3 linked regions of the Saccharomyces cerevisiae S288C genome follow. Each later gene encodes a partner of the first gene's protein in a complex. Each region holds a gene or a part of one and is shown in the gene's direction. Other genes may lie near its edges.

Evidence for each region. Proteins that work in one complex are often made in the same cells at the same time.
Region 2: SME1 (region 1) and SNU66 share a complex: the UniProt entries of both Saccharomyces cerevisiae proteins name them as parts of the U4/U6-U5 tri-snRNP complex.
Region 3: SME1 (region 1) and PRP6 share a complex: the UniProt entries of both Saccharomyces cerevisiae proteins name them as parts of the U4/U6-U5 tri-snRNP complex.

The regions. Positions count from the first base shown.
Region 1 is NC_001147.6:632,782-635,823, reverse strand, and holds SME1 (mRNA splicing protein SME1), read left to right. Parts: upstream 1-2,257; coding exon 2,258-2,542; downstream 2,543-3,042. Other genes in the region: mRNA transport regulator MTR10, read right to left, coding at 1-1,985; mitochondrial 37S ribosomal protein mS26 PET123, read right to left, coding at 2,704-3,042. UniProt on the Saccharomyces cerevisiae protein: Involved in pre-mRNA splicing. Binds and is required for the stability of snRNA U1, U2, U4 and U5 which contain a highly conserved structural motif called the Sm binding site. Involved in cap modification.
Region 2 is NC_001147.6:894,124-898,163, reverse strand, and holds SNU66 (U4/U6-U5 snRNP complex subunit SNU66), read left to right. Parts: upstream 1-1,776; coding exon 1,777-3,540; downstream 3,541-4,040. Other genes in the region: RNA-processing protein NOP58, read left to right, coding at 1-1,339. UniProt on the Saccharomyces cerevisiae protein: Component of the U4/U6.U5 tri-snRNP particle, one of the building blocks of the spliceosome. Required for pre-mRNA splicing.
Region 3 is NC_001134.8:344,102-349,245, reverse strand, and holds PRP6 (U4/U6-U5 snRNP complex subunit PRP6), read left to right. Parts: upstream 1-1,944; coding exon 1,945-4,644; downstream 4,645-5,144. Other genes in the region: MRX18 (17-beta-hydroxysteroid dehydrogenase-like protein), read right to left, coding at 1-1,367; YRO2 (Yro2p), read right to left, coding at 5,111-5,144. UniProt on the Saccharomyces cerevisiae protein: Participates in pre-mRNA splicing. Part of the U4/U5/U6 tri-snRNP complex, one of the building blocks of the spliceosome.

The DNA.
Region 1 (3,042 bases):
TTCCAAATAAATTCTATCCTGGGGAGTAAAGGTTCCGATCCTTGCTGAGGATAATTGTATCTCGGTTTCAATTCTTCAAAAAGCGCATATAGCAAATCAATCTTATCAGCAATCTGTGGAGCCAAGAGCGTTGGATTTGCTTTCCATTGAGGAATCAAAGCCTCGATTTGTCGCAAATTATCATCTACGAGCTTTTGAAATATTACTGAAACTTTGGCCTCTGGCTGATTATTTATTACTGCACTTAATCCTTGACATAGTTCAAATTGTGACTCAATATCAATCGAACTCTGCACGTTGAGGAAGAAATTAATCAACTGATCAATATACCCAACTAATAGTTTAGAGCAGTCCGAACAGAAGAACATTAATGCATGTGATGATGCAGTGATTATACTTTGCATATCCGATGAACCCTCATGCAGTTGAAAACCGTTAAAAATATATTGCAATTGAACTTCTAGTAGTTCTGGATGCTTGGCTGTCCATTCGGTATATCTACCAAGAACTAATGTTGATGCATACCTAATCTTGGCCTGCTCTGGAAGGTTACAAATGATTTTAATGATTTCTGGCAATATAGTGTTTTCAGTCAACGAAATTTCTTTAGCCATAGTCCTCAGGGAAAATAATGGGGCTTCCATTATTTGCCAGCTATTGTTGTTTTCTATTGCGGACTTAATTCTTATTAGTGGTTGCGATAAAGCCTCAGAAGTTCCCACCACTGCAGTACAGTCTTTTAACACATCGCCCATATGATACCTGAAATCTTTAAATTTATCTTCTTCCTCTTTAGATGAAAACTGGCCTGATGGATATTGTAAATGAGTAATTATACCATTTATTAATTTAACAAAAATATCAGAGTAAGCTTTTCTTGATTCTTGATATCTTGGCAAAACTAAACTTTGTTTGAAGTTAAACCAAAAGGGGAAAGTATAGGAAACGACATCTAAGTCTTCATTTTTGCAGGTCAACATCAATAATACCAAAACCATTGGTTTAAAAAAATCGGGGTTTTTAGAAATGACAACTGACCAAGCCTCGCCAGCTTCTACGAATAATCGTGTCATACCTTCTAGGAGATCGTCATCATATTCATCGTTCAAAGGATGGTCTGTGAACAGAGTAGGCAATAGTTTTTCTTGTAAAAGCATTAACTGATGAAATAAAGCAGAAATCAACTGCTCATTAGTAGTATCTCTGCTTTCTCTGAGGATAACGCAGAGACAATCAATAGCGGAATCGAATGCCTCCATGTCACTTTCATTACCATTGGAAATAGTTTCAAACACGAGATTTATTAAGGGTTGTACGGTTAGCAACTGTTCAACAGGGAATTCATACGACCAAGAGTTCAAACACCGTAAAATTTGTTCTAATGAAATAGATGAGCTGGAATTCCCGTCTGTATTTTGTAATAGGTCTATGCATGATACAAGGAATTTCAATACATCTTCTGCTATCGGATCAATTAGTTCATGAATTCTGGAATTGAATTCCACTTCTGTCAAGGAAGTAGATGCAATGTCTAAGGTTTCCTCAGGTAAAATTCTTAAAAAGTTTAATAATATAGATGGTGAAGAATTCAACAATGAAATGATCTCGAAAATTGGATTCTGCCATTCTAAAAATTGGATCGCCAAACGTGCTAACGCGACATTCAGTTGTGTAATAATCAATTTTTGGTTATGCGATAATAAAAGCGTCAACAAAGAATCCTTGAATTGTGGTAGATTATTTTCTAATTGTGATAGATCATATGTGACTTTATTCCTTAAAGTTTGCGCAGCAAAAATATTTAATTCTAGAAGAGCGTTTGTAGGATCTTCTTTAGACAATATTTCATTGCAAATAGACCAGGCAACAGTTGATCTTTGGAATTGTTCTAAAAATTGAAGCGCTTTGTTTTTATCATCTTGAGATGCAGTAGACGATATGCATTGTAAAGCAGTTTCTATATCAGATACCTGTAAGTTGTCCATAACGCAAGTTAATCCTTAGTATATCCTCAATAAATCCTTGATACTGATCTGTCAACGAGTATTTTCATGCCTTTTTCCTTCATTTATTTTTTTGTCAATATCCCTTATGTTCGAAAATTTTTTTCAATTATACCGAAAGCCTGAGCATCTAACAGAGAAATAGAAAATTGAAGTGAAATAACAATAATAGATGGTAAAGGTAAGAGATAATACTAAGGAAAGGAGATTAAGGAACACAGGAAGGATATAGAGCGAAAAACAAGAGGCTTGGAATGTCGAACAAAGTTAAAACCAAGGCCATGGTGCCACCAATAAATTGCATATTTAACTTCTTACAACAGCAAACACCAGTAACGATATGGTTATTCGAGCAAATCGGCATAAGAATCAAGGGTAAAATAGTTGGATTTGATGAGTTCATGAATGTTGTCATCGATGAAGCCGTGGAAATTCCTGTGAATAGTGCCGATGGTAAAGAAGATGTGGAGAAGGGCACGCCCTTGGGGAAGATCCTGTTGAAAGGCGATAATATCACATTGATAACATCAGCGGACTGAAAGAAAAAGGGGAACGAGAGAAATAGACAATTCGCAAGTGACGTATATACATGGGCATATTTATTCTCGATTTGATTTTTTTTTCTTCTTTTCTTTAGTTGTAATGCGTCTAAGGCACTTTCGAATACATGACATGTTGAAGTAGTATATATATTAGTTATTTACAAGTTGGTTGTATTATTATTATTACCATTATTTCCAGCTCCATTAGAGGTGGGGTTTAATTTGGAATCAATTTTATTGGAAATGTTTTTTAAATCCTTGTTCAGATATGAATCCACTAAAGAAATATCGAAAAACTTTTCGTTTGACAAAGAGCCCATTATTGCGTTGTTAATTTGGGTTTGTAGGGTGGTGTTACCTGAAAGTAATAATTTTCTATTTCCAAATTGCGTGAAGTTAGAAGTTACATCATAGGCATCAGTGAATTCCTCCGTTTCATCGTTAAAAACCTTATCAATTTTCTTTAGTAGTTGGGATTCTGTAACGATGAATTCATT
Region 2 (4,040 bases), 260 kb from region 1:
TAAAGTTTCTTCCCAATTAGAAAAACTTCTGGAAGAAATTAAAAAGGACAAGAAGTCGACCTTGATTGTTAGTGAAACTAAACTGGCAAACGCTATTAATAAGTTGGGATTGAACTTCAATGTTGTTTCCGATGCTGTAACCTTAGATATCTATAGAGCTATCAAAGAATATTTGCCAGAATTGCTGCCAGGTATGTCTGATAATGATCTAAGCAAGATGTCTTTGGGTTTAGCTCATTCCATCGGTCGTCACAAATTAAAATTTTCTGCTGACAAAGTTGATGTTATGATTATTCAAGCAATTGCTTTATTGGATGATTTAGATAAAGAATTAAACACATATGCCATGAGATGTAAAGAATGGTACGGGTGGCACTTTCCTGAGTTAGCTAAGATTGTTACTGATTCCGTCGCTTATGCGAGAATTATTCTAACAATGGGTATCAGATCCAAGGCTTCTGAAACAGATTTGAGTGAAATCTTACCAGAAGAGATTGAAGAACGTGTCAAAACCGCTGCTGAAGTGTCTATGGGTACTGAAATCACTCAAACCGATCTAGACAACATTAATGCTTTAGCTGAACAAATAGTCGAATTTGCCGCTTACAGAGAACAGTTGTCCAATTACTTGTCTGCAAGAATGAAGGCTATTGCTCCAAACTTGACTCAGTTGGTTGGTGAATTAGTTGGTGCTAGACTTATCGCTCATTCAGGTTCCTTAATTTCCTTGGCCAAATCACCAGCTTCTACCATCCAAATATTAGGTGCCGAAAAGGCTTTATTCAGAGCTTTAAAGACCAAGCATGATACACCAAAGTATGGTTTGCTATATCATGCCTCTCTTGTTGGTCAAGCTACTGGTAAGAACAAAGGTAAGATTGCAAGAGTTCTGGCTGCTAAGGCCGCTGTCTCATTGCGTTATGATGCTTTAGCTGAAGATAGAGACGATTCAGGTGACATTGGTCTAGAATCAAGAGCCAAAGTAGAAAATAGATTATCCCAATTAGAAGGTAGAGATTTAAGAACTACTCCAAAGGTTGTTCGTGAGGCTAAGAAGGTGGAAATGACTGAAGCTAGGGCCTACAATGCAGATGCTGATACCGCAAAGGCTGCTTCTGATTCTGAATCCGATTCTGATGATGAAGAGGAAGAAAAGAAAGAAAAGAAAGAAAAGAAGAGAAAGAGAGACGATGATGAAGATTCCAAGGATTCTAAAAAAGCTAAGAAGGAAAAGAAGGACAAGAAGGAAAAGAAGGAAAAGAAGGAAAAGAAGGAGAAGAAAGAGAAGAAAGAGAAGAAGGAAAAGAAGTCCAAGAAAGAGAAGAAAGAGAAGAAATAAGGATGCATTTTACATTTTAATAATTAGTGACCCCTCGCGTTCCCTTTTATTTGGATTTAGAAAATTTTCTATAATTATCCAATGCTTAACCTATTTCTCATTTCATATTTTATTCCATAATCTGTAAATTAGTGCTGTACGCCCATATTGAATTGAACTTATTATTTTTTTTAGGTGATATATTTGAAATAGTATACATAATTTATGTTTACATAGTTTTAGGTACTTTATATCATTAAAAGTTTTGTTTAACCTTTAAAAAATTTGTACCATTAGCAGTTATAGGTATTCATATCGTGAACTGCGCAACTTAAAATTATTCGCGGGACGAAAAAGATATACAAAATTTTTGAAAGTGAGCAAAGGATGAGATGGTGCAATCGTTACTATTTGATATTAATAAAAAGGCAATCATCACATCAACCCTTAATTAATTTATGAACAAAACGGAAAACCTTTCTATTGAGGAGACAAATGAAATAAGGGAAAAGCTGGGTATGAAACCTATTCCAGTTTTTCAAGAAAAGAATACAGACCATAAAGAGTCTTTGTCAATCGAAGAGACGAATGAGTTGAGGGCGTCCCTTGGCCTAAAACTTATCCCACCCCAACAAAATTTCAATTCTTCTCCCCCTAATGTACATAACACATCCAAAATCGATGAACTTCGAGAGAAGATAACAAAGTTTCAAAAAAAGGCGAACGCTCCTTTACGAATGGCGCACCTTCTCGAAGAAACTAATGTAAATGACGACAGTTCATGGCTAGAAAACATGGATGCAATTCCTTCCTCACATGAATCCAAACGTTCCAGCACATTGCCAAGAAAAGGCGCCACGAAGGAAGACGAAAATATTGATCTGCATAATGTTCAAGTATCATATAATATCGAGGCGCTTAGCCCAAAGAAAGATACGATTCTAACTTTGAAAGAGAGCAGTATTTTTGATGATACTGATTCTACCGAAGTGTTAGAGAATGTGAAAGCTGCCGAGGAAAACGCTGATAGAGAGAAACTACGATTACGACAAATGAATAAAGATAGAAGACAAAAAAAAAAAATTTTAAATGTATCTAGCTTAGATATTGAAGAAGAAGAAGAAGGAGAGAAACACTCAATTACAACTACACATCTAATCATCGGAGCAGAACAGGGTGTTATGAAGGCACCGAATACTATATCAGCAAAACCACCAACGGGAAAAGTTAAAGTGAATTTCGATAGCGCAAATAATATGTCAGATGAAGATGGTGGAGACTTTAAACCTTTAAAAATTAAAAAACGTAAGATCAAGGACCCAAGATCTACTAAAGCTAGGAAGTCAAAAATTACTGATAAGATGGAAATTGTTAAGTTAGTAGATGAAGATGAAAGTTTATCCTGGATGGAAGAAGAACAGCCAGTCACCATAATAAATCCCAGAACAAGCTCAAACAATGAATTGAAAGGGCCAGAGGACCTCGCTAGAGAAATTGAAAAGGCAAGAGACGAAGAGAAGCGACGCACTGAAAGCATTTTGAAAATGCGTGAAATTTCCAACAGTATTGTCGTCGACGAAAAGGTAACTTTTTTAAATACTTTGGATACCAGTCTCTCCGAACGAAGTGCTACTGAGAATAAAGTGAAAGTGCATGGTGAAGGAGAGAAAAATATCGGAGATGTTACCAATGGACATACTAAGGAAGGGAGTGGAAACAATACACTGACTGAAGCAGTTAATAATGAACCAAACTACGAGGGAGATGCTGAAAATGCACCGAACTTTTTTTCTGGTCTTGCATCAACACTAGGATATCTTCGGAAAAAGAGTGTTTTCACCACAGGAGACGTCGATTTGAAACCAGGAAAGGATGTTAATAATAGTGAATCACTTCGAAGGGATGTCCGAAATAAAGAGCATACGGGCACTGGCACTTATACAAAAGATAAGCTACACGGACTGGAACAATTCACATCTAGTGACTCTTCCAATGCAAATACTCATTCAAAAAGACAAGATCATTATGATCCTGACATAAAACTGGTTTACAGAGACGAAAAGGGAAATCGACTGACTACTAAGGAGGCATATAAAAAACTGTCACAGAAATTTCATGGTACAAAAAGCAACAAGAAAAAGAGAGCAAAAATGAAATCCAGAATTGAAGCAAGGAAAAATACCCCTGAAAATGGTAGTTTGTTTGAATTTGATGACAATTAACCTAATCAGCAAATTCTACTAGCCCCAGCTTTTAATATTCAATATCTTGTTTTTCTCAAGTTTGAAACCTGTGTATAATTGTATTTGGTGTATAAGGCTACGTGGTGGCCTTGAATTCGGAAGTACTTTTCAAACATTAATATTCTGTGATATACATTTGTAAAGACCTTTTGCGTTGTGCCTGAATCTCAAGCCATTGTGTCATTTCACAGCGAAGTGTCATTGTTTTAAGCGATAGAAGCTTGGCGCAACGATCGGATAAAAAAAATTGAAAAAAAAAAAAAATTGAAATGAAAATAAAAACAATCAGATATTCAAAAAATTGAATATCTGTATTCATAAAGAGGAGAAAAAAGAATAAAGAAAAAAAAGAAAAGAACATTAGACTACACGTGCAGCATATACCAACTATTTTTATTATATGCTTATATATGCAAAGCTTACGATATTTAGAGAGTAAGTGGATTGACGATAAAAGTGTTTAATAAGGAGCCATTCGT
Region 3 (5,144 bases), on another chromosome or scaffold:
TCAAATTTCCTAAAGGCAATTATATCATCAACAGCTGTCTTTATGCCATCCTCAAACCTCCAGTGTTCAAAATTTTTACCTTTACCGTTCCAATAAGCCTCGTGTTCATGGATTATTGAATCTATTTTCTTCTTGTCGACTTGTAAGTCATCACCGTGAGGACGTTTTGGTAAATTTCCTTTCTGCATCATGGGAGCTAAGCCCCATTCACCTCCATCACCGTATTCAAACTGCAAAGTCCAAAAAAACCAACCCCAACTAGCTACATGAGAAAATACATCTGCTTGGGTTTGTACGTATTTTTGAACAATAGCGTCTCTGTCGCCAGAAGTTTTATTCCAAGTTTGTCCATCAAGAACACCAGAAAATTCACCAACAGTATAATCGGCATCTTCATGAGGAAAATTCACAGTATTTGGCAAATCCTTGATAATGGAATTGGCATCCTTCGACTTATCAGAATCAGAAAAACAGCGGTAGACATGAGAATCAATGACCACTATTTCACTAAAATGTTTTTCTTTAACCCAGTCTGCCCATTGTTGGGGCCACCAACCATCGGATATTATGACAGGTAAACCTGGTTGAAGTTTTTCAACGGTATTAATGGCTTCTGAATAATAGAATTTTTGGCCCTTTGGGTTATTATCAAAACATGCCTCATTAACCACTTGAATACCAATGATGTTTTCGTTGCCCAGAGTCATTGTGTTAATAATTGCAGGTAAAATATCTTTGTAGACTTTGGTCATGTACTTTTCCTTGTGGAAAAACGCAGCTTCACCACTCTTCGAGCCACTGTGTGAGTCGCAATTAGCGCCTCCTGGTAGACCATGCAAATCTATCAATACACCAATGCTCATTTTCTTGGCATTATTGATTAATTCGCCAAGTTTTTCCCAAGGTTTGGCTAACTCATAAACTTTTCTCAATGGGGCAAATGGAAGCGAATCTAAATGCTTCCCATCTTCGACATGCCAATATCCAATTGGAATACGTAACGCTGTAATATGGGCATCTTTAGATAGCCATTCCCAGTCAATTCGATCAATGTACTTTTTATAGTGATCGCTTAACATTTTCGCAACGTCTTCAGAAGAATGCTTCTTCAATTGTTGGGAAATAGCATCAAATTCGCTATCATATTCTTTCCCATCGATTGTACAAATGGTTTCTTTAGAAAAAATCCATGGTTCGAGCACAAATAACGCACCCAAGTTTACACCATAATTGTAACGGTACTTGTAGATAGTTGATCTATCAAGGTCCTTTGCAGGGGGTAGTTTCGGTAGTGTTGTAGATAAATTTTGACCTCCCTTTTCAGAAACTTTGAAATGCTCAAATTTGTTTCTAAGTGAGCCAATCATTCTGTGCAGTTCAAAAGTTTTAATAAATTTTATAGATGGATAGAGAGTCTTTTTTAAAGCAACTCTTCCCAACAGAGTTCGAATTGAAGAAAAGAAAGTTATGTCTTAGTTCATCCATCCCCCCTAATTCCCTTCTTTTAAGCATTTTTTAAGCCATGATGGCAGAGAAAATGTATATTAAAAAAATATTACTGAAGGATGCGAGGTTCGAACTCGCGCGGACAACCGTCCAACAGATCTTAAGTCTGCCGCCTTAGACCACTCGGCCAACCCTCCGTATAAATGAATAGTTATTTTCAATAACCACACTTATATTAATTGTATTAATTGCAGCACTCTTTCTTTAGTAGCTCCTCCGGAGACCTTTATGAAATGATGGCGTTTCTTCTTTTAATAAATAATGTAACGAAAGTATTTTTAAAAGTCTTCTTTACCGTTGATAGAACCTTGGGCTAATTTAACCAGTACATTTATAGTGTGTCAGATTGTTCTATTAAGCAAAAAAAAACGAAAAATTTCAGAAAATATACGGGTGAGTTGACATAAAGAGTTTAACAGCAAGAAAACGTCACATTTTATGGAGAGGCCATCTTTTTTGGATCAAGAACCACCTGCAGGTTACGTACCAGGTATTGGTCGTGGAGCCACTGGATTTTCAACAAAAGAAAAGCAAGTGGTTAGTAATGATGACAAAGGAAGAAGAATACCGAAAAGGTACCGTGAAAATTTGAACAACCATCTTCAAAGCCAACCGAAAGATGATGAAGATGATGAAGCTGCAAATGTATTCAAAACGCTTGAATTGAAATTAGCACAAAAGAAAAAGAAAAGAGCTAATGAAAAGGATGATGACAATTCAGTTGATTCTTCAAACGTGAAACGGCAATTTGCCGATTTGAAAGAATCATTAGCTGCTGTAACGGAGAGTGAGTGGATGGATATTCCGGATGCCACAGATTTTACAAGAAGAAACAAGAGAAATAGAATTCAAGAGCAATTAAACAGAAAAACTTATGCTGCACCGGATTCGCTAATACCTGGGAATGTTGATTTAAATAAATTAACGGAAGAACGAGAAAAATTATTGCAATCTCAAATAGATGAGAATCTTGCACAATTAACGAAGAATGCAAGTAACCCTATACAGGTTAATAAACCGAACGCTGCTACCGATGCCCTAAGTTACTTAAAGGACTTAGAAAACGATAGAGTAAATTCTCTCTCAGACGCAACGTTAGAAGATTTACAGAAAATGCGCACAATTTTAAAGTCATACAGAAAGGCCGATCCAACAAATCCACAGGGTTGGATAGCTTCTGCCAGATTAGAAGAAAAGGCAAGAAAATTTTCAGTAGCAAAAAAAATAATAGAAAATGGTTGCCAAGAGTGCCCTCGAAGCTCCGATATTTGGCTAGAAAACATTAGACTACACGAATCTGATGTTCACTACTGTAAAACATTAGTGGCAACGGCAATAAATTTTAATCCAACGTCTCCGCTTCTTTGGTTCAAAGCTATTGATTTGGAAAGCACAACGGTTAACAAATATAGAGTAGTGAGAAAAGCACTGCAAGAGATTCCTCGAGATGAGGGCCTATGGAAGCTAGCTGTCAGTTTTGAAGCTGACAAAGCGCAAGTTATAAAAATGTTAGAGAAAGCCACACAATTTATTCCACAAAGTATGGATCTCTTGACTGCATATACTAATTTGCAAAGCTATCATAATGCTAAAATGACTTTGAATTCCTTCAGAAAAATCCTTCCGCAAGAACCGGAAATTTGGATTATCTCTACACTCTTGGAAGAACGAAATAACCCAGATATACCTGTAGATAAACTAGTTAGTTTGCTCAAGGAGGGTTTATTGGAACTCTCTAAAAATGGGTACAAAGCGACCTTGTCAGCATGGTTGAAACGTGCAGAGGCTCTAAATGATGCGCCCAATTCAAATTTAACCTGTCAAGCCATCGTTTACGCTATATTAGAATGGTTAAGAGAAAGTGGCGAGTATGAGTCTGAGTTGAATAATGTTGATCAGATATTAGAAAAAATGCCACACTCAAAGGTACAAATTGCTGTCTTAAAAAAGCTTATTCAGTGGGATCCTTGTGATACAGTTCTTTGGTCTAGACTGAAAATGGCCACTGAAAGCTACCATAAAATTGAAGAGTTATTAGCATTTTTCCAGGAGCTGCTATTTCAGACCAAGAATAGTGATGATATACGAGCAAATATGAGGGAGAAAAGCCCTGGCTTGTTAATGATGTATGTAAGCGAATATTGGAAGGCCCAAAAAGGGGATACTAGGCAAACACTAGTTTTGATTGACCAGATTATAGATTTCGCCCCGCATAATTTGGATTTACGCTTTTTCAAGATAAAGTTATTAGGTCGTTCACTACAACTTGATGAATTACGAGATTTTTTTCAGCAAACTTTCTCCTCTTTAGAGGATTTTAAGATCAGTGGCACGGAAAGATTATATTATAAATACGTAAACTTTCTGCGGTACCAAGATCTGAATGAAGAGGCTATAAAATTCTTGAATGAGAGATGTTTGAAATCATTTCCCATCTGCCACAAATTTTTTTTACAGCTGGGTCAAATTTATCATTCCATGGGCAATATTGAAATGAGTAGAGAAACCTATTTGTCTGGTACAAGGTTAGTGCCCAATTGCCCTTTATTATGGGTTTCCCTATCAAAGATTGACGAGATTGATCTAAAAAATCCAGTAAGGGCAAGATCAATTTTAGATAGAGGATTGTTAAAAAATCCTGACGATGTATTATTTTACATTGCTAAAATCCAAATGGAAATAAGACTTGGTAACTTAGATCAGGCGGAGTTACTCGTCACACAGGCATTGCAAAAGTTTCCAAGCAATGCTTTACTTTGGGTGGAGCAAATCAAGCTGTTTAAGCATGGAAACAAAAGTTCGTTAAAAAAAACAATTTTTCAAGATGCTTTAAGAAGGACACAAAACGATCATCGCGTTCTTTTGGAGATTGGAGTATCCTTTTATGCAGAAGCGCAATATGAAACATCATTAAAATGGTTAGAAAGAGCTCTGAAAAAGTGCTCGCGTTACGGAGATACATGGGTTTGGCTATTTAGGACATATGCAAGGTTAGGCAAGGATACTGTTGATCTCTACAATATGTTCGATCAATGTGAGCCTACTTACGGACCCGAATGGATAGCCGCCTCCAAGAACGTAAAAATGCAATACTGCACACCTAGAGAGATTTTATTGCGCTTGATGAATGACAAATAAAGTAATTCTATCTTGCGTTGTTTTCTACTTAGCCTGCGCGTATATTTATATGTATGTATGTATGTATACACATAATTGATAGAAGCGATGCTCAAAAAAAAAGTTAAAGAAAAGAATTAGATTTAATTAAGATTATAAGTAGTGCTTCATAGGTATTAAGACAACAAATGGTCTTTCTTACAAACGTAAAAATTTGAAGCAAAATGATGTATGTGTTTAAGGAATTTATTCGTATTTTTTTAATGAAAAAAAAATTTAAAAACAGTGCATATTTATTTGTGGCCTTTGGTCGCTACAATCCAATCCCATCTTCTTTCATGTATTAACACTTCATCGTTGCGCGTTATAATGCAGAAGATAAAAAAAGGATCGAAGTGTTTCTTTTCCAGCGAAGTTTCGGTCTCAAATAATAATACGTCAGGAAAAAGAAGGAAAAAAACATTGCTACATCAGCAGATCAAAGCATTTACTCAGAGTCGGTGGCTACATCCTCCTCCTCT